Caenorhabditis elegans: one gene and its partners. The protein of the gene in region 2 purifies or fractionates together with the protein of the main gene of each other region. This does not show direct contact. Each region holds a gene or a part of one and is shown on either strand. Other genes may lie near its edges.

The links.
Region 1: the proteins of drag-1 (region 2) and unc-40 purify together in Caenorhabditis elegans (affinity purification with western blotting, with the first as the bait; one study listed by BioGRID). This does not show direct contact.
Region 3: the proteins of drag-1 (region 2) and sma-6 purify together in Caenorhabditis elegans (affinity purification with western blotting, with the first as the bait; one study listed by BioGRID). This does not show direct contact.
Region 4: the proteins of drag-1 (region 2) and dbl-1 purify together in Caenorhabditis elegans (affinity purification with western blotting, with the first as the bait; one study listed by BioGRID). This does not show direct contact.

The regions. Positions count from the first base shown.
Region 1 is NC_003279.8:5,686,991-5,694,263, reverse strand, and holds the start of unc-40 (Netrin receptor unc-40), read left to right. Parts: upstream 1-2,760; 5' UTR 2,761-2,823; coding exon 2,824-2,842; intron 2,843-3,042; coding exon 3,043-3,126; intron 3,127-4,663; coding exon 4,664-4,844; intron 4,845-6,915; coding exon 6,916-7,144; intron 7,145-7,222; coding exon 7,223-7,273. Other genes in the region: npp-7 (RanBP2-type domain-containing protein), read right to left, coding at 1-660, 869-1,474, 1,568-1,728, 1,803-1,998.
Region 2 is NC_003279.8:1,677,211-1,686,394, reverse strand, and holds drag-1 (Repulsive guidance molecule B homolog drag-1), read right to left. Parts: upstream 5,950-9,184; 5' UTR 5,886-5,949; coding exon 5,837-5,885; intron 4,768-5,836; coding exon 4,497-4,767; intron 3,566-4,496; coding exon 2,964-3,565; intron 2,015-2,963; coding exon 1,946-2,014; intron 1,568-1,945; coding exon 1,332-1,567; 3' UTR 1,192-1,331; downstream 1-1,191. Other genes in the region: Y71G12B.31 (Tyrosine-protein phosphatase), read left to right, coding at 1-12, 65-179. UniProt on the Caenorhabditis elegans protein: Probably in association with the cell surface receptor unc-40, positively modulates the BMP-like Sma/Mab signaling pathway through interaction with both the ligand dbl-1 and its type I receptor sma-6.
Region 3 is NC_003280.10:6,322,087-6,329,714, reverse strand, and holds sma-6 (Serine/threonine-protein kinase receptor sma-6), read right to left. Parts: upstream 5,232-7,628; 5' UTR 5,227-5,231; coding exon 5,087-5,226; intron 5,040-5,086; coding exon 4,889-5,039; intron 4,671-4,888; coding exon 4,581-4,670; intron 4,536-4,580; coding exon 4,424-4,535; intron 4,380-4,423; coding exon 4,224-4,379; intron 4,182-4,223; coding exon 4,088-4,181; intron 3,999-4,087; coding exon 3,918-3,998; intron 3,873-3,917; coding exon 3,736-3,872; intron 3,689-3,735; coding exon 3,385-3,688; intron 3,309-3,384; coding exon 3,137-3,308; intron 3,094-3,136; coding exon 2,695-3,093; intron 2,650-2,694; coding exon 2,575-2,649; 3' UTR 2,360-2,574; downstream 1-2,359. Other genes in the region: C32D5.4 (uncharacterized protein), read left to right, coding at 6,636-7,167, 7,600-7,628.
Region 4 is NC_003283.11:6,755,266-6,762,313, forward strand, and holds dbl-1 (Protein dbl-1), read left to right. Parts: upstream 1-2,869; 5' UTR 2,870-3,019; coding exon 3,020-3,307; intron 3,308-3,357; coding exon 3,358-3,456; intron 3,457-3,545; coding exon 3,546-3,617; intron 3,618-3,665; coding exon 3,666-3,956; intron 3,957-4,005; coding exon 4,006-4,111; intron 4,112-4,189; coding exon 4,190-4,305; intron 4,306-4,496; coding exon 4,497-4,567; intron 4,568-4,619; coding exon 4,620-4,674; 3' UTR 4,675-5,153; downstream 5,154-7,048. Other genes in the region: T25F10.4 (Neur_chan_LBD domain-containing protein), read right to left, coding at 5,177-5,273, 5,317-5,387, 5,602-5,677, 5,719-5,887, 5,936-6,017, 6,080-6,217, 6,265-6,342, 6,519-6,735 and 1 more. UniProt on the Caenorhabditis elegans protein: Ligand for the serine/threonine-protein kinase receptor type-1 sma-6 which activates a TGF-beta-like signaling pathway. Multifunctional protein that is involved in body size, male ectodermal patterning, innate immunity, lipid metabolism and neural plasticity.

The DNA of each region.
Region 1 (7,273 bases), 4.0 Mb from region 2:
TTCCCATTTTTTAGAACCAGCATCGACCACTGGAGCTGGAGCAACCACAACTGGTTCTGCATCTTTGGCAACTTTTGGAGACGAATCCTTTGAACTCTGATTGGATCCTCCGGCAGATGAGATAGTGTCAGCGGAAGTTTGTGGTCGCGACTCTTTCACTTCACTACCATTCTCCTCACCGACGTCTACTTCTGAGTCTTCTGATTCTTCGGAATCTGATTCGTTTCCACTGCTTTCAGATGTTTGCTTTTCTGTCGATTCTGCATTGCTCTCACTGCTGGACTCGGATGCTTTATGTGAGCTTGCCGTACTTGCGGTTTTTGCAGTTCCAACAGCAGTAACTAAATCAACTGGAGCTGTGAATGAGAACGCGAGATCGTCCAAAAACCCGCGCTTGGGTGCATATTCTGGCGCCAATTTCAGAGGTTGTGGATTCTGCAGAGTTGTTGTTGGAATTGGTGGAAGTTTCTGTGAATCCTCATCAACTTCTTCAATGTCATCAGAGAGTTTGAACGTATTTCTACTAACTGGTTTCCCATCAGGTCCCTTCATAATTGAGGCATGTTGTTTTCGACTATTTGACGAGTTTATGGTGGTCGTGGATGCAGTTGATGCTGTCTTCTTTGGAGCTGGTAAGTCCAGTGAAAACAAGGAGCTCAGCTGAAATTTAAAAAAGTTAAGATAAAGTCGAATAATTTAATTATCATAATTTTAAGTTTGTTATAATTTCTGAAAATTTCCCAATGAAACGTTTAAAAATAAATACTAGACTGTGATAATCTCGTGTCTAATTTTAGAAAATTTGACCAGAAAAACTTTTTCATAATTCTTGTATCATTTTTTTTCAAGTGTTTAAAATCCAGGTTACCTCTGCAGTCGCAAAGTTTCCGTTCAATGATTTCATTGAATCAGAAGATCCAGTGTCTCCATTTTTCGACGATGTTCTTTTCCTAGTTAAATCCGTCCAATAAGGAGCACGTCGAGCGGACATTCCCATAGTCTTTGATATGAGCTGTATACGAGATGGAATTGCGTCTCCAGCTTTTTTCAATGGAGGTGGTGGTGTGCCAGTTGCTGAACCATTTGGAACCTTGCTCTCGCTAAACGATCCCCATTTTTCTGGTCGAGCAATGCCAGCTCGAAGCATTGACATTCTCTGAACTTCTTTCGCGGGTGTATTTGCACCTTCAAGCTTTTTGAAAATTTCTTGAGTTCTTGTACTTAATGACCCGTTGGTAGTTGCTCCACTTCGTCGGCTCAAAAGTGAGAAATTTGTGATAGATGAAGCAGGAGAATGATTAGCAGTTAACTCTCCACACCAAGTCATATCCATTTTCCTCTCATTATTCATTGAACTATTAAGAGTTGGTTCCAGTAATGATCTGTTCAGGAATCGACTTCGTTTCACACTCTCACTTCGAAACGATTGTGGTAGAATCTGCTTGTCGAGCTCTGTCAGTTGACGTTTGCGATTCTGGAAAAAAATATTTCGATAGCATTTATCAACAGGTTTAATCTAATTTTTCTGTGAAAACACATTAATAAAAAGACAACTTTAAAAATTTACCGTGGAAACCGCAGGAGTGCTGAAGAAAATATCTGGAACAGCGTCCACATCGATCTCTAAGCCATTGGATGCACTCGTACGCCGATCCAATGCAGTCGGACTGAGGTATCGAAGACGTGATCCGATGCGATGGTTTTGTGAGGTATTCACTGAAGTTTCATCTGGAATTTAAAAAATAATGAGTTGAAATTCTAGTGCCATGTACTGATATGAAAGTCAATGTGATTAAACTTACCTGAAGCTATTTTAGCTTCATTATCTACGGATAATATATTTTTCAATGCTGGAGACGCAGAAGGAGACGATTTTGAAGACGAATTGGATGTACCTTCATCATTCGACTTATCGCCGTCTTTGCTTTTAGTGGCACTAGCTCCAACAGAAAAGAAGCGGCCAACCGATGAGAAAAACCCTCCGGATTTATCGGACATTTCTGAAATAGAAAAAAGTTGTTTCGTAATTGAGACTAAAGCTGAGAGAGACTGAAGAAATTTTTCTGCGCCGTGTCAGAAATTCTCGATAAAATAAAATTCTTCAAAAACGACACTTTTCGAAATACTTTTGAAACGCCTAAATGAACTACTGGAAGTACCAAAAGAACATGACAAATGCACCTAATATGTTTTGGTAAAAATTCCGAATTATTGATCGATAACACAGGTCAAAACTACAGAAATCATTCAAAATCGTAAATGTTTAAATTTAGGCCGCGCCAGTAAACGCAGCATTAAGCATTAAACTTGATATATTTTTAAGGCAAAAAACCTTTTACCAACATTGAATTTTCGAAGGAAAGAAGTGTAAATTACATTAAAAATCAATAAAGGAATTTAAAATCGCAAATGGCGCGAAGACGATTAAAAAGAAATTTTCGAGTGCGCACACGCGACGCATACGCGACGCTTTCAACGACATTTGAGAGGTTAGAGTGCAGACAGTTATCCTTCCATTAACAACATGAAGAGGGTGCAGAGAAACGAGAGAGTGTCCATTCCACAAGGCCACACCCCTTCAGCTGGACACTTCTGGAGCTCTTTTGACGACGTTCGACCCTGTTTTTGACTCTTTTTCCGTTAAATATATTTATTTTCTATTCAAAATTATTTTTAACGACCTCTTTTCCATCTTTTTTTCTGTGTTCAAAAAATGTGTTCAAAAAATCCAAAGGTAAATAAAAACATTATTTATTTCAGACCCTCTGCATCACCAATAGAATGCGATAATTCGACAGAAGTTATTTAATTCATTCAGTAGAAATGATTTTGCGACATTTCGGTGAGTTCCATCTTTTTATCTTATCAATTTTAATAATTTCTCCGTGGAAAAGTTTTAAATATTGTTGTTATCACTTTTGTGTTGATACAAATAAAATTAAAATCCTATAATTTCGTAGTAAACGAAGTATCTAAACCCGAACCTCTGAAAGAAAACAAAAGGAAATTAAATAAAACTTCATTACTATTTATAATTTTCAGGTTTCATTCTTATAATTCTGACAGTTTATCTGTCATCTACTCATGCCACAACACGGAAACATCATCGTCGATCGATTGATAATGGTGAGAGTTTTTCACATTTGAATTCAAAAATATATTAAAATGGGGGAAGGAAGATGACCATCTGGCATTCTGTCAAGGTGTCAGTCACCGGCAACATAATTTATCGATTCAAGAATGGAATTTTGAAAATAGAAAAATATAAATAAAAATCATCTTAAAGTCAATACTTGGCACTGAACTACCTTGTGGCTATTTTTAAAAAAAATTGACTCCATAAAAATAATACAAATCCAAGAAAAGTTACGTTTTTTTTAATACTCTTACCTATAAAACACTTAGTTTATCGTCGAATTAATGGTTTTACTTTGAAAAAACCTTCTTTCAAAATTATTCTCAATTTTCGAGTTCCGATCTAGCAGAGTTGTTCAGCAATCTTTTAGTTCCTTCACACCTTAAAGATGGAGCAGCGATTTTTTTGTCCCCAGAAGAGAGACATCTTGAACGTTTTCTAAATTATGGCGGTTTAGGGAAAAATTAAAATTTTAGTTAATTTTGACTCCGCTTTTGAGAAGCCTCATTCCGTCACTCGGGGCCTTATTTCACTACCCCACGGTGGGTACCACCTTTAAAGAAAACTTGACGCCAAATTGTAGCATTTTTCACTACAAACCAAAAGTGGATAGCTCAATTCCCCAGATTCTCTAGGCGTTTGATGTTCGAAAGATTGTAATCTCTACACAAAATCCACCAGATTCGTTCATTTCATTATTGTGTGTGTGGGTCCCAATGGTTCCACATGAAGTCTTCTCTCTCTCTTTTCTTCTTACTCTTGGAATGAATTGTGACACAAACACACACACACAAAACGAAATGCCATCATCTTCTTTAGCTTCCACCACACAAATCTTTCTCTTCCATCCCCTTTCGATTTCAATTGATGGATGAGGCAATATGAGGGACACGGGTCTTCAGTTGATGGTGTTCCCTTGATTGCATAATGCTCCGGGAATACATTCATTCATCATTTAAATGATGATGATTTCTTATTGATGAGTAGCAAAGTTCTGTTTCTAAACATTTACGAAAATGTGAACTAATTGGCTCCAATTTTTGAGCGGCGGAAGAGAAAGAAGGACGCTTTGGGTTTATTGTTATTTCGGAATGGTCAAGGTTGAAGACTGAGAAAGCTACAAAATAATAAATCAGTTGTGAAAATATGTTTTAATTCTGGAAAAAAATAAGGATAATTTAGTTTAACTAGTAAGGTACAGAAAAATATCAACAAAAAAATTAGACGCGATAAGTGGCATTTTACAGTATTCCCCAATTGATAAGGACTTTTTCGGTTTTTAACTGCATTTTTTTCCGTGAATTCATAAAATAAAGGTTCTACGATGCCGCATGTATCACAAAAGAATTTATCGAGCATGTGAGAACGTATGGAATAATGACTGAGGAAGAAAAATGAATGGTTATTATTATAATAGTATACGTTTCGTAAACCTTTCTCGGAATATAAATGGTCATAAGATTCTCGATAAAAAAAACAATACGAATGACTTTCTGAAGGAAATCCTTTATAAAACCTTATTTTCAGATGCTCGGAATCTTGGCTTTCAATTCGTAATGGAACCACGACGGAATGTGACTGTTATGGAATCATCGTCTCATTTATTAGAATGTAGTTATGTTCTGGCTCATGAGAGACTTGTACACGATGTCCGAATTGAATGGAAACGTGATGGTGTGTTGCTCAGTGAACGGACATCTTCTAGAATGTGAGTTTTTTTACAACTATTTGTTCGGTTTAAAATTTTTTCGATTTAAATTGATGTTCAGTGTCAATACACTTATAATAGTTTTTAAAAAAAATTAGATTTTTCAATATTCACCGTCATTCGTTTGGCAAATTTTGCAAAAATGTGGACTTTTAGGTAATTGTTATAGGCGAACTCCTAGAATTTTTACATACGAAAAATTGAAACATAATTAAAATATGAAACTAGTAGAGAAAAAACATTTTTTTGATCGACTTCCAAAATTATGATTTCAAAAAACATGTCAAAATATTTTGAAATTTTTGTTACGATATTTGGACATTTTGAGTATAAAATCAGTTTTAAACAATATCCCTACTGCACTTTTAACCTCGGTAGAAAAAGCTCACACTTTTAAATTGGGTTGAAGCTGACTTTTTCGTTAAAAAAAAGATATCAATTGTGCTATCTTGTAATCTTTAACCTTCTTTCCAAGTATATGGTTGTTTGAACACTCTTAACTTATTTCACCAATAAAATCGGATGCTCACATTCTTCACAAGGACTCCTTTGTGGATTCTCGTCAAAGTTTCGAAAATATGCAAATGACATTGAGACATATAACTCATTTAGATGGTGTATCTCCGTTCTATCGGAATGTGTGTATATACACTTGTTTCTTCTCCTTCTTCTATTCCTAATCCCTTCAAGAGCATGCAAGCGAGTGGAAGTAGTGACTTTTACATGTGTCTTTCTATGCACATATAAAATTTCGTCCTGGCTTATTCATGCATATGTGCATAGGAAGGACACTTTTGACCGAGAGGATTGGAGTCTATTGTTGAGAAGCTTTTGTTGTGCAAGAAATTGTTTTTCTGCATATTTCATAACTTGTAGTTGTTTTAGTTTCCAATGGCCACTGAAATGTTATGAAATTTGCCGGAAATAGACCGAAAGTTATTAAGCTTAAAACCGAAAGTACAATCAGAACAGAATCAACACATTGGAATCAAAAAAGTTCACACAATTAACTATATGTTCCAATTTTTCAATTTCCTTGCTTTGAAATTACCACTTTAAGATTCTGTTAATATTAAAGTTGTTGGTTTAAGCTTACAAAGTATCTATATATTGTGTAACCAGATACTATTTTCGCCTTCACAACATTCAACAGAAGTAGACCACCCGCCAAAGACGTATCCGCGACAATTTCCTGCCATTTGTCATGTATCTCCTCCTACTATAATGCCATGTCACCATTATTATTCTGGCATTAGAGCTAGGTAATATTAGGTCAACAATTGTTTTCCTGAAGCTGTCTTTGCCGGGCCTGTAGTCGTTCTTCTGTTGTCATGGTCATTAATCAGAGGCGACTGTGGGTGATTCGATCGAAATTGAGAAACGATGGGTGGATGTCGTCAAGACGATTGATTGACAGGCTCAAGGTTCTGTTGAAGACTATGCAAATGGCATTGAACAATTTTTGCAGTTTTAATTTCATTCAATACAAATGAATCATCAAAGTATGAATGGAAACTGGTCAGGGATAAGCTTATCCGAGTTGGATTTACTTTTTCAAAATGGAAAACTTGTTCACATTTAGTAGCAAATAGCCTTCGGCGAATATTTATTTTCTTATTCCATGAAGCACGAAAGTGCGTATTACAAATCAGGGTCTGAGAATTCTGGTAGTCCTTCGTAGATGTGATGAGCGCGTTGCACACACGTAAATGTGCGCATACACACTCATTCACTGAGACCATCTGTCAATTGCACACCACAGAAGTACTTGGAAAAGATAGGAAGCGACCCACAACCATATGGTTGCCAACGATGATGGGAATCGCAATAAAAATGAGAGAAAAAAGTTTGGGAAAAAACTTGAAATTATTTGAGAACATAGCAATATAGTTGCTTCGAATTTTCGCAAGAAATGTTTGTATGAATGTATAATAGAATACTGTAGTACGTAGAGCTCTACGTAGAGAAAAAAACAAAATAAATTTGAAAATTCTTCAACTAGATAACATCTTAATTTTGAAATAGACATATTAAATGCAATTTGTCTAAATATTTAAGTTTTTTATTTCAGAAAAGTAATGTCAAATGGTTCATTATGGATAGAATCAGTGAGCAGTGCCGAAGAAGGAACATATCAATGCGCTGTACATGTGACTACAAAAAGCGATCAAACAAGTGATACGTGGACATTTTTGAGTCGAAAAGCTACGTTACGATTGGCGGATTTGGCAAAGTTTGAACTGCAAGCGATTGATCGAACTCTAGCAAAAGGGCAGCCAACTGCGTTTCATTGTCTTATTGTGAGTTACTATAAAATATTTTGAGATTTTATTGAAATTGAGTTTTCTTTCAAATGTTAAATATCTAAAATCTTTCAGAACTCGAAACCAACCCCAACAGCAGTTTGGCTTCACAACGATGAACCTATT
Region 2 (9,184 bases):
CGACATCTTCAGGTATTTCGAATGAAGTGACATTATATTACACACACACACTTTTATTTTATAGCGAAGTGAATCGATCACGGCAGCAGCGGCCAAGTATGGTATACACTGTCAAACAGTACGAATGCATTTATGACATTATCGGAGAATACTTGAGGAACTACCATCAGAAGAAGTAGATTATTATATTACGGAAGCAGAAAATTCTGAGAATGCGTATCGCACAATATATCGTAGCGAAAAAAATTCCAATATTTTTTTGTCTCCTCACAGTTATCCGTAAGCGCAAAAATTTTCAAATCCGTAGGATCACGGGGAGCCGAGATACAGCGCTCCACTGTGGTAGCCTGACCGCGACGCAGACCGCGACGCGCCTCGAAACTTTGAAGGGCTGTAACTTGTCCTCCAGTTGCCGTACAAAGATGAAACTTTTTGGGTTCTAAATCAAATTTACTGTGCAATGTCGTTTTGAACCAAAATATATATTTTTTTAAAAGATTTATTTTTCGAAAAAATTTCAAATTCGGTGTTTTTAATCCAAAATTTTTAAGTTGGGAAATTGATTCAATTTATTAATCAATATATATTTTCACTATTCTTTTTGCACCCCCACTGGGAGCTGAGAAATAGCGCTCCAAAATGATAGCCTGGCCGCGACGCAGACCGCGACGCGCCTTGCAATTTTGAAGGGATGTAACTTGGCTCCCAGAAACTCTAAAGTTCAAAATTTTTCTAGCACTCCTGAAAAGAAATTGACTAGGGTGAACAGTTAACCGTAAATCGACCTACAGTAATCATTTAAAGAATTACTGTAGTTTTCGCTACGAGATATTGTGCGCGTCAAATATGTTGTGCAATACGCATTCTCAGAATTTTCTGCGTCCGTAATACTGTAATGCATGTATTTTTATTAACTTTTAGTGTCAAGGAAAATGTGCATTTTTCTTTCATATTTTACAAACATTCTTCAGCTAAAAAAATATACAATTTTTCTATACAATTTTTTTTGCAAATTAATTGATTTCGAATTCGAATTTAAATTGACAAGCTAGATTTTATGTGGAGAAAATTTGAATAAATAATTTGTTTTCCAATTTTTTGTATTAAAATGTACATTTGAGAAATAACAATTTTCGACTGGAAAAATCAATTAAATTGATTTTTTAAACTCAATTTAGAAGCAAGATATAATTTTTTTAAATTAAAAATGTCTTTATTTTTGAATTTTTATTTTAAAAAATTGAATTAACCCATGAACAATGAATGATAAGAGATCTGAAATGAAAATTATCGATTTTTGAGGCATTTTGAAGAGTATTTACAAATTCAGGTCAGCATAACAATGATAAAAGAGCAAAAAAAAAGATGGCAAGAAATGGATAAAACCTAATACTTTTCGATGGAATACATTTTTTAAAGATTTCCGATTGATTTATGTGATTTTTGTGTTGATTTTCTTTCTGGAACCGAGCATGTTGTTGGGTTACATGCGATTGGAAGTGATGCGGAGCCAATCGACGGAAGTCTGACTCAGCGGCGCGAGAAAGGTGTACCAGATAGTCGTCGCCTGGAATTTCGGGACATTGCTCACAAATTTTGAAAAAAATCAAATTTGCTCATAAGATATAATGGACTAAATGTGCGTTTATTTGGTAATTTAAACAGTTTTTTATAATTGCGCACGTGGTTCCAAACTGTCCCATTTTGGTGTGATCTACAAAAAATGCGGGAGAATTGACCCAGATTTCTCAATTGATTTCGCATGGTTAAGAAAGTGCTGACGTCACATTTTCTTTGGGAAAAAATCCCGCATTTTTGGTAGATCACTCCGAAATGGGGCACTTTGGCACCACGTGTTTGCGCGTAAAATTCGGTGTTTTCTGGTCAATGCACCATATTTTCCACACACAACACAAGTATTTTATCAATGGAGCGCGTTTGTTACCTGTGAACATGAGATCAAAAACACACGCGTCGAAGAACACTCCGATGTTGCCAATGTCTTTGCAGCGATCTGGAAGTAGTTCAATTAGATTTTGTTGAGAGTAAATATTTAGTAAATATTTTTTTTGCGCGTAAAATGTGATGCATCTGTGAAATTTAAATTTCGGAGCATTTCAAAACTCACGGAAATCTGGCTTCCCTCATAAATAGAGATGGAAGAGTTTTTGCGGAACTAGGCCATTTTTGCTCGGCCATATTTGGGGTAGATTTACGGCGCGTTGCGTGTCGCGTCGCGGCTCGGTTTTAGTTCGTGTGGAGTACACTACTTTCCCAGTCCGGCGGGCGATTGTCAATGGAGCGCGAAAAATTCAATGAATTTTTTTTGATAAAAAATTGAAAATTTTTGTATTTCCCGCTGATAATTGACTACTTAATTTTACAAAAAACTCTATTGAAAATTCAAATTGTTGACCAAAAATCTATTCAAAAATTGTTCCAGACAAATAATTCGTTGAAAATTTGAATTTACCATAGAAACTGAATTGAAATATTGAATAAAAATTCAAATTTCCCGCTGAAAATGCACTGAAATCTTGAATGCTGCGCTGAAAATCGATTTAAAAACAAACTGGTGGCCGACAAATTAAGTTAGGTGGCCTAGAATTCCAGAACCCACAGACAGGTTGCTTAGGATACCCCTGGCACAGAATTCTCAGCCACGGCTATCACTTTCTGTTTTTTTTTTCAAAAAAACACGGGCTCCTGACCTTCCTCATTGCATTTTTCGCGCTCCATTGACAATCGCCCGCCGGACAACGTGCGGGAAAGTCGTGTACTCCACACGGACAAATGCATTGTCAAATGGAGCGCGAAAAACTCAATGAGGAAGGCCAGAACCCCGTGATATTTCCAAGATTAATTTTAAAAAACCGTAAATTGGCAAAACTTTTTGCTCACTTAAGAAGGTAGTCTCTAAAATTTGAAAAAAAAACGTTTTTTGCGCGTCAAATCCAACATACCTTCCGCAACCTTTTTCGGCACATGAACCCGTCTCCTGTAGCACTCTGCAAACTTTTTCGTCATCTCAACAGCAAGCTCTGCAGGTATCCGTGAGCTTTTCCTACATCCCGACCAACAAAGCTCCCTGGCCACGTCTCCTCCAGTTTCCAGAACAATCGTCGGCGCCCGAACAGAAACCGATAGATAAGGTCCTTGACGGCGAATGTGAATCGACGAATGAATAAAATGAAGCGCTATTTCCACGTAGTTATCATCTTGCCACAGTACCTCTACCGAATGTTTTGACGTCATCTGGAACGTGGTGCCATCCACAAATCCACGTGGCAAGCCCTCTTCATCCGAGCTCGCCTCATAGCGGAGGGAAGCCGTGCAGTTGTGCTTTCTCACGAGAACAGTAACCTTCGTTACTGTAGTCGTTAGCGCTTCGCCTCGAACATTTCTATTAGTGACTTGAACTAGAAAATATCGATTATCCACCAGAGGACGGGCTCCCTCCTCCGAGCAAGTTTGCACGGAGCCATTGAACATTATTAGGTGAGGATCCCCGAAAAGGCTGCAGTACTTGAGTTTCCGGTTCGATGGAGGTGGATTGAAATAGCATCTGGAACAGAATAAGTTGTTTGTGATACGAAAAAATTAACAGAGATTTCAAAAAATTAGGTCTTCCCCGCCAAACTGTGTCCCCTGAATATTTGAACTTCGCAGCTAAATTTTTCTCAGATAATTCAAACTTCCCGCCACAAATGTGTCCTCTGAAAATTTGAATTTCCAGCAATAACATTTTTTTTTCAGAAAATTCAAATTTCCCGCCAAAAATATTTCCTCTGAAGATTTGAATTTCCCGCCAAAATGTTTTCTCACAGAATAAGAATTTGGCACCAAATGTTTTCTGAGAGAATTTGAATTTCCCGCCAAAAGGTTTTATTAAAAAAAAAAAAGAATTTCCCGCCAAAAGGTTTTATGAAAAAATTTGAATTTCCCGCCAAAAGGTTTTATGAAAAAATTTGAATTTCCCGCCAAAAGGTTTTATGAAAAAATTTGAATTTCCCGCCATTTTTCTTAGAATATTTCAATTTCCCGCATTTTTTTTGCAAAGTGTTCCCAGAAAGTATGAATTTTGCGCCTAAATTTTTCTTTCAAAAAATTTGATTTTCCCTTTAAAATGTTTTCTCACAGAATTTGAATTTGGCGCCAAAACATTTTTTCTCACACAATTTGAATTTCGCCACTTTTTGTCAGGCTGTCGCATTGCGATTTGATCTACAAAAAATGCGGGAATTTTTTTCCCAGAAAAATGTGGCGTCAGCACGTTCTTAACCAAGCTAAATCAGTTGAAAGTCTGGGTCTCAACTCCCGCATCTTTCGAAGATCAAACCAAAATGGGACACTTTGACACCACGTGTTCACAGAATTCTAATTTAGCGCCTAAATTTTTTTTTGTCAAATTTGAATTTCCCACTAAAAAAAATTTCCCAGAAAATTAGAATTTCGCGCCTAAACTTTAAATTTTTTGTTTTTCACAGTTGACTCACGTATTAACATGTTTCCTCTTCACATGACTATTATCATTACACGATTCCCACTTCTCACACTCGAACTCCTTCCAGTGCCGTCTCATAATTAATTCCGATGAATGAAATCGAAGATTACCATGACAATATCGTTGAGTATCATTCATACATTTTAAATAAGTCTGAAGAACTTGACAATATCGTTCGGTGGCTTTTGGCACCAGGTTTTCGTAGTCTTTTGTCTTTTGGAACCATGCTGCACATTCTTCGACACGACACGATGTGATGGGTTCTGGAAAGTGTTTTGATGTAATTTTCAAAATTACTAAAAATTTCGAATTTTTTTTCCAAATTTTTTCTTAAATTTAATAATTTTTTCAAAGGTTAATTGAAATTTAAAAAAAACTCTACTGTTGACATTAATTAATCGATCTTTGAATTTTGCAAAAAATTTTGTCGCACAGAAAGTGGGGCGGAGCGTAACTTTTGCAACACTGCCGCACGATGTTTTTCTCCGTTTTTTTTTCGAATGAAAATGTTGATGTTATCCAATTCGCAAAAAAAGAAAAAAAAACAGAAAAATTGAAACCGTGCGGCAGTGTTGCAAAAGTTACGCTCCGCCCCACTTTCTGGGCAACAAAAATTTTTGCAAATTTTAAAAATCGATAAATTATTTTGTTTTCAATAGTAAATATCTTTAAAGTAAGATTATGAAATTTGAAAAAATATTGTTCCAAAACTTTAAAAAACCGTTCAGTTTTTTTCAAGTTTGAAAAAAATCCCAAAAATAATATTTTTAGTAATTTATTGTTTAAATTTCAACGATTTTGCAAAAAAAAAAATTTTATTTGTAACGTTTTTGTAATTTTAAGTAAAAAAAGTAAAAATAAAATTTTAGTTTTTAGATACTTTTTTTGCGGAAAATAAATTCCAAAAAAAAAAAAACTCAAATTAAAAACTAAAAAAAAACTTTTCCACCACCATTCAAAAGTTTTAGACTACGTTCCAATATGTGGCCTAGGATTTGCAATTTCTAGGCCACCTCCTCCCTCCCTAGAGGAATTTGTTGTTAAATTTTGACACTTGGCCAAATTACTGCCATTTAAAATACGCGACCTAGGCTTTGCAAAACAATTTTAGGACATCTGGAATATGTAAGACCCCGTTTTACATTATATGACCTAGGTTTTGCAATAACTAGGCCACGGTGCACTGTGGGGTTTTCTAAATAAAATAAACACATCAGATATTTAGCAAATTCTACTCCACAGTATCACACACATTTGGCACCAAATACTGCCTTAAAAACAAATGGCCTAGGTTTTGCAAATACTAGGCCATTAACCCCTCAAAATACTCACTGAAAACTGAAAAAATGAAAGTGATTGAAACGAGATAGACTATTGACATACTCTGTCAAGTCTTCTCATCTCACGGCGGGTATCAAGCAGCTGTACTTCTTTGTGACCTGAAAAACGGAAAAAAGAAAATTCAAAAGTAGAGAAGCATGCACATGATTTACGAGGGGTCATCGATGAAAAATGAAGTAACGAAAAAAAAATGAAAGGGAGCTGTGTGTGTAAGTTTGGTGTCCCAAAAAATCTTTCAATTAAGGATAACGCCTTCAAAATGACGAATCAGATGAACGATTTGAAGTGGCATTGATTGATGATAGCCGGAAATTAATTGAGGTTAAATAGTTTGGGTGATATTAGTACGGTAGCTAAAGTGTACGGTAATTTTTAAAATTCTTTGAGAAAATTTGAATTTCCCGCCAAAAGGTTTTATCAGAAAATTTGATTTTCTCGCCAAAAAATTTATCAGAAAATTTGAATTTCCCGCCAAAAAGTTTTGTCAGATCAAAGTAAGTAAGTAAGTATGTGGTGAAACTAATTTCTGTTATGCCCATTACGTTTGAAACGGGTGTGTGCGGCAAATTTGCCGAATTTGCCGTTTGCCAAAAACGGCAAATTTGAAAAAATGTGGACTTCCCGAATTTGCCGCACACCCCTGGTTTGAAAGTTTCTATAATGATTTGGAACTTTTCAATATCATCAATATCATCAGTTTATCCAATTTTTCCAGAAAATTCCAGAAAACCTTGAGATATTTTGATAAAATCCAATACGGAGCGCTCCATACAGAGATTTTAAAAAAGTTTTTAAAAGTCCAAGCCTAGAAATTGCAGCATAACACGTGGTGTCAGAGTGTCTCATTTCGGCTTGATCTACGTTGATCTACAAAAAATGCGGGAGAAGAGACGCAGTTCTCAACGAATTTCATATGGTTAAGAATGTGCTGACGTCACATATTTTTGGGCAAAAAATTTCCGCATTTTTTGTAGATCAAACCGTGATGGGACAGTCTGGCACCACGTGGCATAACCAGAAGTAAGTATATAAAGTACCTTTGAGTTTTTAAAAGTATTCTAACTATTGTAACAGCAAAAAAAATCATTAGTAAAACGTTTTGGAATGCCCTACGTTACAAAGATTTAATAAATTTTAATAAACCAATCTTATTGGACTGGAGTTGCTGACACATTAAAAGTGTGTAGTGTGAAAAAATTTAAAAAAATTCTTGATTTATTTTTATAAGGTATTGTTTAAGGCAAGTGAGTAATATATGTAAATATATGATTCATTTTTTGAAAATACTGTAACCCCCATAAAGCTTTTATATTGGAAAAAGTTGTTCTAGATAATAGGGATCTAAATAATAAAAAAATATTATATGATCTTAATTGAAAACAAAACATCAAAATCAATAAACACCGTGACTACAGCGCAAAAGAAAAAGAGTTGAAAAGGGAGGAAACAAATCGAAAAGAGTGATAAGAAAAATGGAGGAGCGCGTTAAAGCTGGTCTCCCGTATAGGATGAAGAGCTGTTATGTTTGCTCACTTCCTGTGCATTTACTCTGTTTTTCGGTAGCAAGAGAGGAAGAGTCTACAGGAAGAGAATGGGGTAGAGAGAATATATTTAGGTTGCTGAAAAGGAGAATTTATGTTTTTTTTAGACAAAATACGATTTGAGGTATCTAGTTTTTTTTTCGGGAAGTTTACGGTGGGGTACCGAAATATGGGAAATATTTTCTAAATGAGTCCAAATTTGCCCCTGCCTCCGAATATCTATGTGGAAAAATTCAAAAAAAAATCTCTTAAGCTTGAAATCGCCGAATTTCATTTGTGGCCGCATCAATATTTTTTCAAATGCGCGCCAAAAGAAATTCGCAATGGAGCGCGCTTACATCTCCGTTTATTTATTTATTTTTGCCGAATAAAAATAACAATTTTTTTAAACAAGTTTCAATTGTTTTGGTCCAGTTTTTATCGGTTTTTTTCTCTGAAAAATTGTTTTTTCGACAAAAATTAATGACACTGGTTAAAAATTGAATTCGGCGAAAATAAATAAAATAAACGAAGAAAATCTAACGATGCAAGCGCGCTCCAATGCGAATTTCTTTTGGCGCGCAGTTGAAAAAAGAGACCGGGGCATGCGTGCACAAATTAAATTCGGCGATTTCAAGCTGAAATATAAAATCGGAGAAATTTTTTTGATTTTTCCACATAGATATTCGGAATCAGGGAAAAATTTGGAGTCAATTAAATATATTTTTCAGATTTCGGTACTCCACCTCTAAATCTTTAAAATACTCAAACTGATCCCAATTATTAGGTCTGAAAAAAAATACCGATAATGTTGGAGATCTTTCAACTCATGCTAATCTCCCAATTTGAATTACCGCGCCTTTGTTCATAAACTCCGCCCATAGAACCGTGCCGCACTTCAATTTCGACGCAAACTTTTTTGTTTTTGTTTTCTTATTTTAAAATTAACCGTTCGCGAAACTATACAACAAATATGTGTCATACGAAATTTCTTTAAAAAACCCGAAACTCGAAAAAAAAACAGTATGCAAATGTATGTTTTCAATCACAAGTTTGGTCATACTTTTCAAAACATCAACAGTTTTTTCTCTTTGACATTCTCTGACAAAAACACCGATAGTACCCCAATGTTTCTAAATGTACAGTAATGCTACAGTACCCCTACACTATCCTTCTAGAAACACTCGATCGCAGGCATACTACTTTGTAAACTCATATCTCTGTTGCCTTTCGGTAAAATTAAAAATTGTCAAGTAACGAAATGTGTAGTATTTGTTTTTCTATAATCCTGTAGTTGAACATTTACAGATATCTTTAAGTTGAACCGAGTTATTAGCTATAAGAGTAGCTAACTTCCGAATAGAGGTATTTGTTAGCATGAATAATTCGAGTTTACTGATAAGAAAACTAATTACTTATCAGTTCCAATGTTGCAAAATTTTATGATAAAGTTTCTAAACTTTATATATATATATACATCAGGTGGGCGGCAAACGATTTTTCCCGGCAAATCGGCAAACCTGCAAATTGCCGGAAATGAAATTTCCGGCAAATCGGCAAACCGGCAAATTACCGGCAAATCGGCAAATTGCCGGGATTGAAAATTTCCGGCAAATCGGCAAATTACCGGAATTGAACATTTTTGGCAAATCGGCAAACCGGCAAATTAGTGGAATTGAAATACTCAGGCAAATCGGCAAATTACCGGAATTGAAATTTTCGGCAAATCGGCAGACCGGCACATTGCCGGTATTGAAAGTTTCCGGCAAATCGGCAAACCGGCACTTTGCTGAAAATTTTCGGAAAATTGTGGTTTCGC
Region 3 (7,628 bases), on a different chromosome or scaffold from region 2:
TCATCAATTGCGATATTTAAGTATGGCGGGATTTGAAAAAAAGTAAAAAGGGGATAGAAATCACCAGTAAAAGTTGTTTAAAAAAACGAAGTGAACATCTTCCAATCTTTATACAAGTTTAACTTGATCTGAAGTGGTAAACTTTTGATAGCTTATATCTCAGTTGTCGTAGGTTTCTTTTTAAACTTGTCAACTAACAAAATATTTGTTAGTTCTTTTTCTATCGTTTGTATTGTAATATTTATTGATATATTTAATATTAAGTGAGATAATACCCTTTAAAGCAAAGCAGCAGGGGCCAATACTAATAGAAGGATTACGGTATTTCTGATTTTTACACCAGTATTTAATGTTTTGTTTCAGTTCTGGAGAAGTGATTTGCAGAAACAAACGTTCACAGTAGTCTTCTTTTAATCATTTACTGTTTGTCAGGAAATTAGTATTGAATGCCACACAAAAAATACTTTAAAATGAATATTTCAATATTATTTTAATTTAATCATTTAGATTATCCAGCTAAAGAACTTATCTAGATACTAGATATTAGGCTCAATCCCCCACTGAGCCCAATATCTCAAAAATCATCTAGCCTTCAATTTTGACCCTCACCCTCACAAAGTTCTCATCGTTACTAATCATATTATTTTTAACGAGCCTTTGTCAATCCGTTGCTGCACCTTCGTACACCAATTAAAAGTATCGATCTATATGTGGACTGCTCCGTCGCCCCCCGACGTTGCATTGTTATCGATGACACCGCCCATTTGGTGATAGGCAACCATCTTTTCTGTGTCTCAACTATCTACCATTCCATAAGCCCACCTACTTTTGTGTCACTATAAAAGAGAATTGTGGTGTAGGTGATAACAGTGCTCTTTGTATTATTATCTACAATTACTTCGTATTCATATTCTACTCGAAAACCGCTTGTTCTTGAACTGGAAGAGTGCCATAAAATCATGACAAAGTACGTGATATTATGCACATTTTCTAGTTCAAGACTTGAGAAATCGGTTAACTGTTTTTGAAACAACTTCTGATTTTTGTTGACGGTAGTTTTTGCTATCATGAGTTCCGGGTAAATATCATATACTGTAAGACATTTGTTAGAAATCACAATGTTTCTTTGATTGATTATTTCAATTTGCTTATGGGAAACTCTTAAGTCAGAATATTTTTTTAAGCTTTCCCAGTTCCAATTTACGTTTGCTTCTTTTTTTGAAAACTTGATTCCTCTCTTGATAGGCACTCTCATCGAATACAAGAGCCTTGATAATTTAAGACTTAGAATTATACAACAAAAATCTACGCAAGGAGTCAAGATGTCTGGGATTTGATGTAATCATAGAGACAGTATACAAAAAAAAACGAATACAATTAAAGGACCTACTTAGATTGTAAAGTTTCTGGCACAATTTTCAAATCTCCCGTAAAAAAATTGTGCCAGGTCTATAAGAAAATACATTTCCTGCTTCGACAAATCAACCTTAACTGTTTCCATTCCGTATTAAACTGGAATTAACTATAATGAAACAATTTCTTAAAAATTCAATGGATGGTTCTTTGTACATGGATGGTTCTTTGAAAATTACTGTATCAGAACAAGTTTCAATTTCAATATAAAAACGCTGATGGTTATTCAACGATTTGCAAACACCGTGATAAATCTCGCTGATTTGCCGATCTTTCTGGTTTGTGTGCGAAGTTAAAATTGAATTTATCAAATTTACAATTGAAAAAATACTTTAAAAAGCTTTGTGAAATAAAGACTTAGTTGCATGCATCATATTCGATTTCTACAGTCAAGTGATTCACCTACAAAATAAATCCAGACAGATGGACATTTTGCCGTAACTTGCAGTGCAGAAATTTCTTGAAATATTTGATATCCTTAAAAATTTTCTAGTCGAGATTTGTCAAAATTAAAATATCATGAATCCACTTTTAACTTTACAAAAGGATGATCTTCTAAAATATGTGATAAACGAAATAAATTGTGAAAATGATATCAGATGTGCTTTGTGTTTTAACGAATTAATGTTTCATTGTTCCAACTGATGCAACTTGCAGTTGTCTCCCTTTTGTTTCACCCAAAAGAGTTGTCTAACGGTGCAGTATTATCTTATCAAACCACGTACAAGTATGCCTATATTTGCTCACAAATGCAGTGCACACCAATCCAGATAGATTCAGATAGAGAGATAATAAACGTACATTTAAACATGGTTGAGCTGATAATTTTGTTTGCTCCGTCTTCTGCCACAGGGAGCGCAAGTTAAGAATTTGTCTTATCGGCAATCTATCAAGGAAATATTAGGCAATGATGGACAATAATGTCGCATAATTACAACACGAACGTACAGGTCTGGAACAATGTTTATTCACAAAAATTGCAGTAAATCGAGATGAGAACAAGTTCATAAGAGTTGCACAATTAAAAAATTGATGGGAAATTATTAGAGAGATCGCTTTAAATTTTGACCGTTGTGGAAATATGAACAAAACTGAAAAAGTAAAATTGATTTTAAAGAAGCCAAAAATTTTGGTACAACGAAAGTAAGATCAGAAAGTGGGTTAAGATTGATTGGTGGCTGACTCAACAAGGCCACTGTCTTGCTGTTGGAATTCAACTTTACGCTGCGATTGATTCTGAAAACATAGAGTTAGATATAGCTCCTTAACGTGTTGAATTACCTGTCTGTCGGGGTTTTTGATCAACTCAGCCATTTCTTTTTTCAATTTAAGAGCAGAATGTCGGAAGTGTGGAATTGAATGCCAACTGTCTTCCATCAACTTGCTCAATTCATTAAGTGCTGGGACGTTTTTCCAGGCAAGATCCGGTGGTGGACGTATTCGACGTACACAAATTACATCGTTCATCTCGTCAAAATTGGGATCATTGTGCACGATTCCATCGAATGGTGGGACATGTTGTTTTGCTTTCAGAGATGTAGAATGTCCTTCTACATTTGTTTTTTGTAGATGCATTCTCGATATATTACCAGATGAACTAACTGACTCTCCGATACCACTTGATGCACTGTGATCAGGAGAGGTCTCATCGACAGTTAACACTTCCTCACAGGTGTTTACCTACAATCATGGCCTTTATTTTAAACTCATTGAATAATCATACCTCAACCCTGATTGCAACTTCCCACATAACAAGTGCCATTGAGTAGATATCTGCCATCTTGAACTGAGAAAAATCTTTTGGATTCAACTTGTTTGATATCAGTTCTGGAGCCATATATCGTTTTGTTCCAACTTGAACATTGAATTTTTCAGGGAGAATTTTGTCGTTTTGACTGAAAACATTATTCTTTCTAAATTTCAGAACAACTAAATCTTTGGTTTTCAGATGCATCATTTGAAATAACTCACTATCGTAGTGCCAAACCCAAATCAGCGATACAACACACATTTGGTCGTTTGACTATAATATTCTTTGATTTAATATCTCGATGTGCAATTTCAGGTTTTCTAAAGCTTCCAGTTCCGTGTACAGCTGCATGTAGATGTTCAATACCACATATACAACTGTGAATAAGTCGAAGAGCTTCATCTGTTGTCAATGTTTCTTCACGGCAAAGATAATCTGATAAAGATCCCAGTTCATGATAATCAGTGATAAGAAGCATCTTTGTCATTGAATCTTCCTCACTCCAAATATCAGCCGCCACGAATTCTGAAACAATTCTTGAAATTCAAAGTAATTTTACTGAAATAGCTTACGAAGGATATTTTCATGATTGATCATGTTAGTTTGATATACATCTCTTTCATTTTTCCATGAATCTTCATCAGTTGTGTAGAATGTTTTTACAGCCACGTAACTTCCACGATACAGAGCTTTGCGAACTTCTCCATATCTAAAAAATATAGGCAACAAAGATTAAAATAAGAATTAATTTTACCTTCCCTGTCCAATTGTTTTAATAATTGTTAAATCTTGTCTCACTGTCCTTTGGATCAACGCAGCCTGCCCAGAACCACTTCTGAAAATTGTATTTGTTAAAAACATCACTTTCAAAATAATGGGTATGATATCTCTATATCGCAAATACTCTAGGAAATAAAAACGAACCCTGAGTCTTCGAGCATTGATTTGCTCTCCATGTATGTTGATTCTGTTTTCAGAGACACCGTCTTGGCTCTGGCTCTGGCTTTAGATTTTTCTTCTGAAACAAAATATCAATTTAGTAATTTAAAAACTGTCTCACCTGCTCTTGTAATACATAAATAAATACATCCAATGACTGCAAAAACCGACATGACTGTTGCAAATACCATTATGAACATTTTTCCTCCACGTGTCATGTTTTCCAGTGGAGAATCATAGTCTTCTGGATTGTCAGTTTTCTCTTGAAGTGCTTTCTCTGAATAGTCCCTGTTAAAAAATTTAAATTAAAAAAAAACTCACCCTTGTGATGATGAACATATGCCGGCGGAATCAAATTCTTATTGCAATAGTTACCTTCATAGCAACAACCAATACTTTTAGGAGAATGGTGAGCTGCTCTCCAAGAATTACACTGAAAAACACCTGGTGAAATATTTCAAAAAACTCGATGAAACACCGTCAAATGTGAAGCTCCACTTCCTCTTTCCAGTGTTGCACATCCCCATTTATGAAGAGTTTCCATTCGTTTTTCAGCTTTGTTATAAACCTAAAATTTATTTTTATAATTTTGAAAATAATCATAATTGCAATAACATCGATTTTTCAAAAAAAAAAAATTATTATAATTTGTCAGTTTCAAGAAATGAGAAAAATCCATTCATTAAAAAACTGGTAACGCCTAGATCATATGTTGCTAACCTCCATGGTGTAAAAATATTCCAAAAAATAAAACGGAAACTTTCAAGAGCTACAAGTTAATTTTACCTCTTCAACGGCATGATAACAAGCAGCTCCATCTTGTTTCACACATGTCATATTATTTCCACATATCGACTGATCATAATTGCAATAACATCGATTTTTCAAAATATCATTGGGTCTGTTCCGAAGCTTCATCTCTTTTAAAACTTGTTGCCTGATAAGAAAAACTGAATTTTTGATAAAATATAAAAACTCATGTACCTGAACTCCTTTGGAACTCCTATTGCATTTTTTGGAATGCTCAACGCTAAGTCTTCATCGTCAAAGTGATCATAGTCTTTTGAGCATTTTTGAGTATTGAAAAATCCGAAAATGAGAATAAATATAAAGGTGATGTTCATTAAATCTGAAATTTGCAAATAAATTGATTAAAATATATTGTTAATGAAGTCAGTTGCGAAAAACATGAAAATAGAACGAGTAAAGACAGAGGTAGAGATGAAAAGACTGTTTGCCGAGTTTCCTCTCCGTTTCGTACAATATTTCAATCTACGGCCTCTTCTATCAGTACACTATCTCTCTTAACTATCTCATCATTCACTTAATGTTCTTTTTGACAACTTGTCCGCCTAATGATACTAATGATCTGAACGGAAAAGTTGCGCCAAAATGGATATATGTATGACCGGAGAATAGGTAGAAGTGCGGCGCCTTTCTGTCGCGCCACCCCATAAAATGACGGGGTCATTAAATGGCGTGGCGCCATTTTTCTGAGAAAAATAGATGGATTAGATTTATGTAAAAGAGGGTTGCACCAGGTGTTTCTTTTTTTCAATATCTATTCATTGTTTCTATCGTTTGAAGTTTAGCGATTTTTGGGCACCGGATGAATACAAGATTCGGAAGGGCACGACAAATTTTTATAGTACTACAATTAAAATCGTCAGTAAGAAAATATCATGAAACCATGCTTATAGTGCAAAAATGTCCCAATACCATAGTAACACCAAAAAAAACTGAAATTTTTTATGTATAGTCACAAATTAGTGAAGAACTAGAAGTCGGCAAAAAAAAATCTACGAGTTTTATTTTTTTGTATTCAAATGTTGTAGGGGTTTACCGTTTGAAATTTCTTAAAAATTTACTTTTTTGGAAAATTTGGCAAACACAGGGGAAAATAATCATAATAGGGAAAGTAACAAAATAACAAGTTACAATATTGCTTCGCCTATCATAATTTTGAAAGTCGACCAATAATCCTACTTTTGATCAAAGAAGAGCTCAAAAATTTGCAAGAATTCCGAAGTATTTAAAAATTTGGAAATTTGCCAAAACTGAAAATATTGAAAAATCTGAAACAAGCTTTGAGTTTTGGTCATTCAAAAATGATATTTATTTGACAATGAAAATCTGATTCTACATTTCCTTCTTTGTTGTTCCCAACTTATAAAATATTAATAGTTTACTGGGGACTCGACAAATATTATTTTTTAAAGAGTTCTGAGCACTTATCGGAAATATCAATTTTGTAATAGTATGATACGTTTTGAGGGCACTTTAGTTTATTCACAATACTGGGCTTCTAGAAATTTTAGAAAAAATGAAACTAATGTTTTGAATACTTAAGTTAATTACCAGTGCCAGTGTTTTAGAATAAAAAAACACTTTATAGGATTCTATGAGTTTTTGGAAAGTTCAGTCCCGGCAAAGGTTGCCGAAAGCTTCAAAAAGCGAAAGTATAAAAAGTTCTGAAACTACAGCTTAACACAATGAAGCTTAAAAGTTCTCACATTATGAATATAAACATGTAATGTACTGGAACAAGAATATAAAATTGAAGTCCAAAAAAGACGACAAAATAATGAAATCTCCAAGGCAACAAGAATGGGAAAAGATTCATGATGTATATTTTTTCCTGACAATAAATAATACGCAAGGGAATTGTTTTGAAACTAATATTATTTTTACTGCCACACTATTTCATTCCGTGACATTCCAACTAAGAACTTCAAAACGAAAAAATATTGACGATTGGAAAAAAATAAATCAGTTTTTGATTATTTCGTTTTCATCAAAAATTAACATCGTACGCAGTATGTTAAAATGCAAAGAAGACGATTTCGAAGTGATGACTACACCGCCGGAAGAAGCCGAAATGCGAGAAAATCCGAATGAAATGAAACGTCTCTTGACGCACATGTCCACAACCAATACACCATTTGTTGTGCACGATCGGACTGGTCTCAGACTCTCATTTGCTGGCCTTTTGCCCATCACAACTGGTGACAATGGAGAACAACGCATCTGGTCATCAAGTATCATTTTGAATAGTGCAGAACTTGGTGAGTTGACGTCGAATGAATTGGTTCTTGGGACTCTGGACTACTACAAATTTTGGTGCAACTCTCTGTGAAACTTTAGTCTCTGTCAGTGTAATTTTGCGTTGATTTGGTACAGTTGGACAAGCTTTCACTCTATCGGAGCACAATTAGTTTTGCTTACCTCTGTGACTCGTGGTAGTACGTAGTTTTGCAATTTAGATTTCTCGAACATTTTTCAAAACTTTCTTCTCGTAGAAGAACTGTTGTAATGTCAAGAACACGGATTGCCACGATTTATTAAAGATAAGCTGTAACGAGACTGGCCATGTTGCAGTGTTTCTAGATGTTATAGCCTCGAACCTGTCTGGAGCTCCGAGAAAATAGTTCTTTGAGTGTGCTAACAACTTGAATACAACTCAATCGTCCGTCCACATTTCAAATGACAATTTTCAGAATATCCCGAAGTCAAGTACAAGCTACGT
Region 4 (7,048 bases), on a different chromosome or scaffold from region 2:
TGAGCTAAATCGTTTCCAAAACCCTATATATTAATTATTTATTCTATTATTCATCTGCAAAAAAAAAATGATTGACCTAGTTCATAACTCAATTATCTTTAACCACATAGATATCCCGTTCTTAGGACACTAATAATGTCTTCTTTTTACACTTTTTTGCGTCTGTAATTATATTTATTCATCCATTCAACTGTCCATTCTCTGTTTTAAACACTTCATCTCACTGACCTTTTCCACCACACCACATCTCCTTCCATTTTCTACCGTATGCCTTTGGCGCCATAATGTCGTTTCCGGAGCCGTCCTATCCAATTTACCGTATCTTAAATACCATTTTTGTGACTAGAAGACCTTCAAGTGACGTTTTGTTTATGTCGGTTTTCGACCAGCTGAGACACTTGCACTAGTAATTTGAGAGAATTTGTCGAAAAAAAAAGTCGTGAGCAAGTGAGATTTCGTTGAGATTCATTACAATCTGTATGAACACTGCAATTGCTTTTTTCCTCGGTTTTTAGTGTTTTTTTTTTGTTTTGAAAACTATACACTCTGTGCCAAAGTTCACAAAATTGACGATCAGTTTTCTAGTAGTTCAAACTTTCTTCTAGAGTTTCGAGAGACGGTGATGTTTGAAAATTAGTTTTTCTTGGTTAAAAAGTTAGAGTAAGATTTTAGAATCTCGCCAATACAGTATTAAATTTTTTTAAGCGTTGCGCATTTTTGCATTTTTGCTTGGCCCGAATCTAGGAGAAATTTCAAACTTTAAAAGCCTCACGGCAAATCCAAATCAATAAATAGAGTTCTAAATAAAGAATATTGTCGGCACGGAGGCAGATATTGGAATCCGTGAATCCGTCATGGATACAAACATCTGAAAACTTGCTATCAGGGGGCAAACACAATTGTTAGTTATCGTTTGAAGTTGCCGCCGTCTCCGTATCGAATATCATATCATTGTCGAGATATGAGAAGAAAACATTCTTGAAGTTGCGAGCAACTTCTTGCTGTCCGTGAAGACCAACCGGTCGGCTCTCATGTGATGTAGGCTTCTCATTTTTTCATTCTTCTTTTACTCGTCACACATTCCGTTCCTAGTTTTTTTTTGTATTTTTCTCATATTGAGAACGAGTGTTCCGCTCCCCAAAAAATATTGTCAGTAGTTGCTGGAACTTTTGCAAGAAATCTGTATAAAATTTTTTTTGAATACAGATAATTTTCCTGGAATTTTTGATAACATTTTTTCTTAGATTTTTCTTAGATGCTGTCAAGACCTAAAACTGAGTTTAAATTATATCAAAGTTTCAGAACTCAGAGCTTCAGAAAAATTTAGGTAACACCCCTCAACGTTGATGAGCATGTTAATTTTTGTAGACTTTTAAAATGTCTTTTTTATTACCCTGGAATCGGATAACGGTTTTTAGCAACCTGAATCCTACAATACTTGCTAACCTGGTTTAGAAAACAAATTTGGAAATGCTGTAGATTTCCTATCATTTTTATGAACTCAGACAATTTTTTTGTCGTGAAATTTTGCAAATTAATTGGAAAATTGAAATGAGCGAAATTGAATTACAAACATTTACGTTTCTATAATTCCCAGTAGCCTCCTTGATTACCATACTGTTTGCCAAATCTTGCAGACCTTCCAGTTTTCTCACGCTCACTTCCCTCATCTCACTTTTTTCTGTAATGTCCGTCTTTGGGGTCTTCTTGCAAATGTTTACCAACCAAAATCTGCAACTCAAAGCTTTCCCAAGCTCGGTGCCGACGAGTGTTAAAGGGGGCAACCTTGCACAATCCCTCGGGATCAATTCATCATTAGTGCTCTGGAACTTTTTTACTCGGGTTGAGCAGCAGCAGCAGCGCAAAACTTATCATAACCAAAAACGCCTTCTTTTTTTGAGCGCACCGCCCGCAGCCTCCCCCTCTGTGCCGAATTGTTGCGATTTGTGTATATGTGTCGAAAATATGAGAAGAATGTTCCCAAAATAGATGGCGTCTACAATATGCCAACGGTTCTGCTCAGGCTCTAAATCGCTGCCAATTTTCAATTGATTTCCATCTTTAGTTTCACCAACTGTGTCTATACATTGAAATTCGATTCTCTCATTTCATTCTTCTCAATCCTTTACATTATGTTGCATTTTTCTTCCTCTTTTTCTGAAAGTGGAGCTATTGTTTTTCACACCCACTCGATGAATCTGGTGGGTGTTCCTCTCCTCCCCCTCAACGTCACATTTATATGTCATTTTTTGAGCTTTTTTAAGCAACAGTGGTAGTAAGTTGACAAGAGGCATTTCGAAAACCCGTCTTTTGCATTTTTGGATTTATGAACTTTTTTGTTCTTCTCGTCCTTTCATCAGTCTGCAAAACAAGTCTAGATGTCTGAACGCAGTTCTTGGAAACAATTTTAATCTTATTTTCATACTGGTTGCTTGACTAGATCCAAGTACAGCTAGAATTCATTGTTTATTGCATTATGTTTCTAAAGTTTAAAAATATACCAAAGTTCTAGGATTGTAACATTTCAAGTTTCAACCATTCCTTAATTGTAGCTTGATTCGTAGTAGAAATTAGTGGCATTTTTTAATGAGTTTAAAAAATACTTTGAAACTTTGAAAAAAAAACTGTCTATTAGAGGACATTCAATAATTATTTTTAAAAAATGTGATACCGTCTTTCTCTATTACACTTGCATCCTTTTTTTTTACACGGAAAATCTTTAAAAACATCTGGAACATTTTTCTTTTAAATTTTCTACAAATTTATTTTATAATTTACAGAATTATAATGTTTTCTTTGGGTTCTATTACTCTCTGTCATTGTATCTCAAATCATTGTATCTTTAAAAAAAAATAGTCCGACTTTTCAGCCTGATTATGCGCTAAACAAGAGGAGAGTCGTCATCGGCGAGCCCCCCGCAAATAGAAGTCCTTGTCCTGTCCCGTTTCCCTTTTTGTCCAATCTGTTTCCACATTCCCTACGATATGTCCAGTGGCTGCCTGATGCGCCCAACTCAACTATGAACGACTCTGTGCGGACAACTACAACGATTTCAAGCACAAAATCCCTTGTTCACAGCTTCCAACTGTCCGCCATTCTCCACCTCTTCCTCCTCATCTCCTTCACACCAATGTCTGCTGCTGCCGATCAACACGCGTCCCACGCTACCCGACGCGGTTTGCTTCGGAAGTTGGGACTCGAGCACGTACCTGTGCAGACTGGTCCGAGCATTGATGTTCCACAACACATGTGGGATATTTATGACGATGATAATGATGTCGACTGGGTCAGACACTATTATCCGAAGGTGAGATTTTAGATTTAGCTTATACCCAAATACCAAGACTTAAATTTCAGGAGATTATTGAAGATAACGAAGGGTTCTTGTTGTCTTATAACCTCTCATTGGCTGCTCGAAATGCTCACAATGAAGAAGTGACTAAGGCTACTTTGAAAGTGAGTTTTTCTCAATTCTGTTTTTTTTTTCGAAAATGTTATTCTTATGCTCATTTGAACACCTTCCATCTGTAACTTGCCACTTTCAGCTCCGGTTACGACGCAACAACAAAGCGAGGAGGTCCGGCAATATTAGTATTTATTTTTTTGAAGATGATATAGTATGTAAATCATTTAGCATTTTTTTTTCTCACAATATGAAACTACAGAACAATGATCGATTTCAAATCGAATCTCGATCCGTCGACAACCTTACCGAATGGATCGATTTTGATGTGACCGCCGCTTTTTTGCGGCGAACAAATCGTATCAGTTTCTTCATCGATTTGCCGGAAGATGTGGAGATCGAAGAGACACAGAGCAGCTCACTGAGCTCATTGCCCTACGCGCGGGCTCAGAGTGCTCCGCTTATTGTGTTCAGTGACCTGTCCGAACCGTCCAGTGTGCGGCGGAAACGGAGTGCACAAACAGGCAACAGCGAACGAAAAAATCGAAAAAAGGTTTGTGATTTCTTAAAAGTAGAAAAATTGTTAATCAATTCTATTGTAGGGTAGAAAGCATCATAACACCGAGGCCGAGAGCAATCTTTGTCGGAGGACTGATTTCTACGTGGATTTTGATGATTTAAATTGGCAAGACTGGATTATGGCACCCAGTGAGTATTTTAATTGTTGTTTTAAAGTAGAATTAAAGATAATTAGAAGAAAAATTGAGAAATCGTATCAAATTTCAGAGGGCTACGATGCTTATCAATGTCAAGGCTCTTGTCCAAATCCAATGCCAGCTCAGTTAAATGCAACTAATCACGCTATTATTCAATCACTTTTACACTCTTTGAGACCTGATGAAGTGAGTTTTTAGAAGGTTTTTATTGATTTAGATGATGTTATTCATATATTTTTTCTTGTTCGAAAAAAATATGAGACAAAAATAGGTTTGAGTTTTTCAATTTGTTCATGCCTAACAACTTATTTTGAGGTCATGTAGAAAACTAGAAAAGAAACGACAAAACTTATTCCTCACCCTAAAATATTTTTCAGGTACCGCCACCTTGCTGTGTGCCTACTGAAACGAGCCCTCTTTCGATTCTCTACATGGATGTAGATAAAGTGTAAGTTAATCGAAACACTTCATGTCTTATTACTTCAAGATCTATTTTTTAGAATAGTGATAAGAGAGTATGCCGACATGCGGGTTGAATCTTGCGGGTGCCGGTGATACCCGCTTCTATGTCGCCATCGTCGTCGCACATTACCACTTTTTGTCATCTCCTTGTTTTTCCCTACCATTCATTTTCTTTACTAACTCCTTATTTTTTGGTGCAATGTGTCACGGGTCCTCATTTCTCACCTTCAACCGTTTTTCCTCTTGTTATTCTTGTCTTCGATTCACATTTTCCTTTTCTTCCCCGATGTTTGTCCATGTTTCTGTGATTCCTTCCTAATGTTCCTTTTCTCCTATTTTTTCCAAACCAAGAGCTCTTATGAAGACGGACAGTTTCTTTTCTTGTTTTCTCTAATTCTCTTCTTCCAAAAAATCTATCTCTCTTTTTCTTCTCACTCTCATCATTTTTCACTCGATTAGAATTGAATGTTCAAAACAACAAAACAAATTCAAAATATTTGATCTCATAGTTTTTGTGTCTGTATGCACTGATCCTTTTTTGTTTCTTTTTTAAATGAACATTTTGGTATTTGATTTTAATATTTTACTTAATTTTTTATTGGTAGAAAGTTGAAAATAGTACAAAATTAATTATTTGGAGAACTATGAACGCAAGAATTTCAAACCGACGGTAGGCGTTTAGCCACAGCTTTCTGAAAATTAAAATTAAAAAAAACAGTTACTTCGAATACCCACCGTCTCCATTCTGCAGAAGAATGCAAATTCAGAACTTCATTGAATGTAGACATTGTAAATTTTACTTCAGCCTGAAAAAATACCAAGAGAATTGTCATTTCAAAAGAAACACTATCATGATCACAGTATTTTCTTTTTTAGTATGGCACGCCACAACTTTACTTTAAAACGTTAAATCTCGGTTCATTTTGTAGATATCAAGAAACTTATAAATGCAAACTAATGAAAAATAAATGAAAAATGATTATCGTTTACAATTCTTTAATAGAGCAAACAACAACTCACCAAGCACATATCAAAGTTTGCAATTCTCGGACTTCGCATAGACTCGGCTCTTGCAGAATCCAATGCAGCATTACATCTGAAATTGTGACTTTCTAGAAATCTTCAAAAATTTCTTACTTTGATCTCTCTGTATCTAGACTAAATTGATCACTTGGCGATGGAAATAGTGGTGGAGTTGGATCAGATTCGATCGGACAGCACCTCAAGTGAAAAATAAAAAACGGAAGTAGTTGGTGAAGAATTTCAATGAAAACCTCCAGTAAAAGCAGTGTCATTAGTTGATAATCTAAAACAATTTGAAAGTAGGGTAAAAACGTTTTCAGTTCAAACAAACCAAAACTTGTCAATTTCCCAGATTTTGGGCCTTGACTTGCTGATACTAGACTGATAAGAAAACCACAACATAGGTAGAATCTCTGAAAAAATTGATTCGAATTATGTGAAACATCAAATGAATAGAATGATATTTTAAACCAACCGACGATGGCAAATTCCAAAATATTCTGGAAACTGGGAAGTATTCAAATATCATGGAAACATTCAAAAGGAATAATAAGAACATTCCAATTCGTTGGAAAGTCGGTGGACGTCGAGTAACACGGAACTCAAAGATTGCCTGGAACTAAGAATTGTATGATATATCTGTTTGGCAGTTTGGTATACCTGCTCGAATGATTCATTTTTATGAACAATCCACTGTACAAAAGCTTTGGAGACTTCAAAGTTCCAATATGAGTTGCTCTGAAACTTGGAATTTAACTGTAATAATTTCTTTCTGAATACTAGCTCAGCAAATTATGTATATTTTTCAAACATCTGACAGAAACGGATCAGAAAATTAGAAATATTTTTGCATGTCAAGGATCTTTGGAAAATATTGGACAAATACAAAAACTATGTTAAAACTGGAATCATACCTGTTCTTGGGCTGTGGAAACGAAATGAGGATTCAATGTCAGCTGAGATGAATTTCTGATGATTGAGGTAAATCTCAATTGAAACAGATGAGCATCACTCGGAAATGACGAAAAATCCAGTGATTTTTCGGATTGTATTATTACTGACCGGCTCGATCTAACATTTTGAATTTGATTCTCACGAGTCACGATACTTTTTGAAACATGGTGATTCTCCCTGAAAGTAGAAGTAATTATAATTTCGGGATTTATAACATTTATAATCTACAGGCTTTCAGTGATAATTCCAAACGCGTCGAGCTCGCTCCATGTGGTTAACTCTCGATTCCTGGGCTCTTTGCCCCGTTTTGTTTCCCACTCAAAACATATCTCAAATGAGATTTCCAGCGATGATTTTTCTTCATTCTGGAATTCATGAGTGTCGTCGATATGAAAAAATAAAACTGTAATATAATTGGAAACCACATTTGATGCTTATATTTTTCTAATGGTGAAAAATGTTGTCTAGTTTCATCCTACATCAAAAAAAT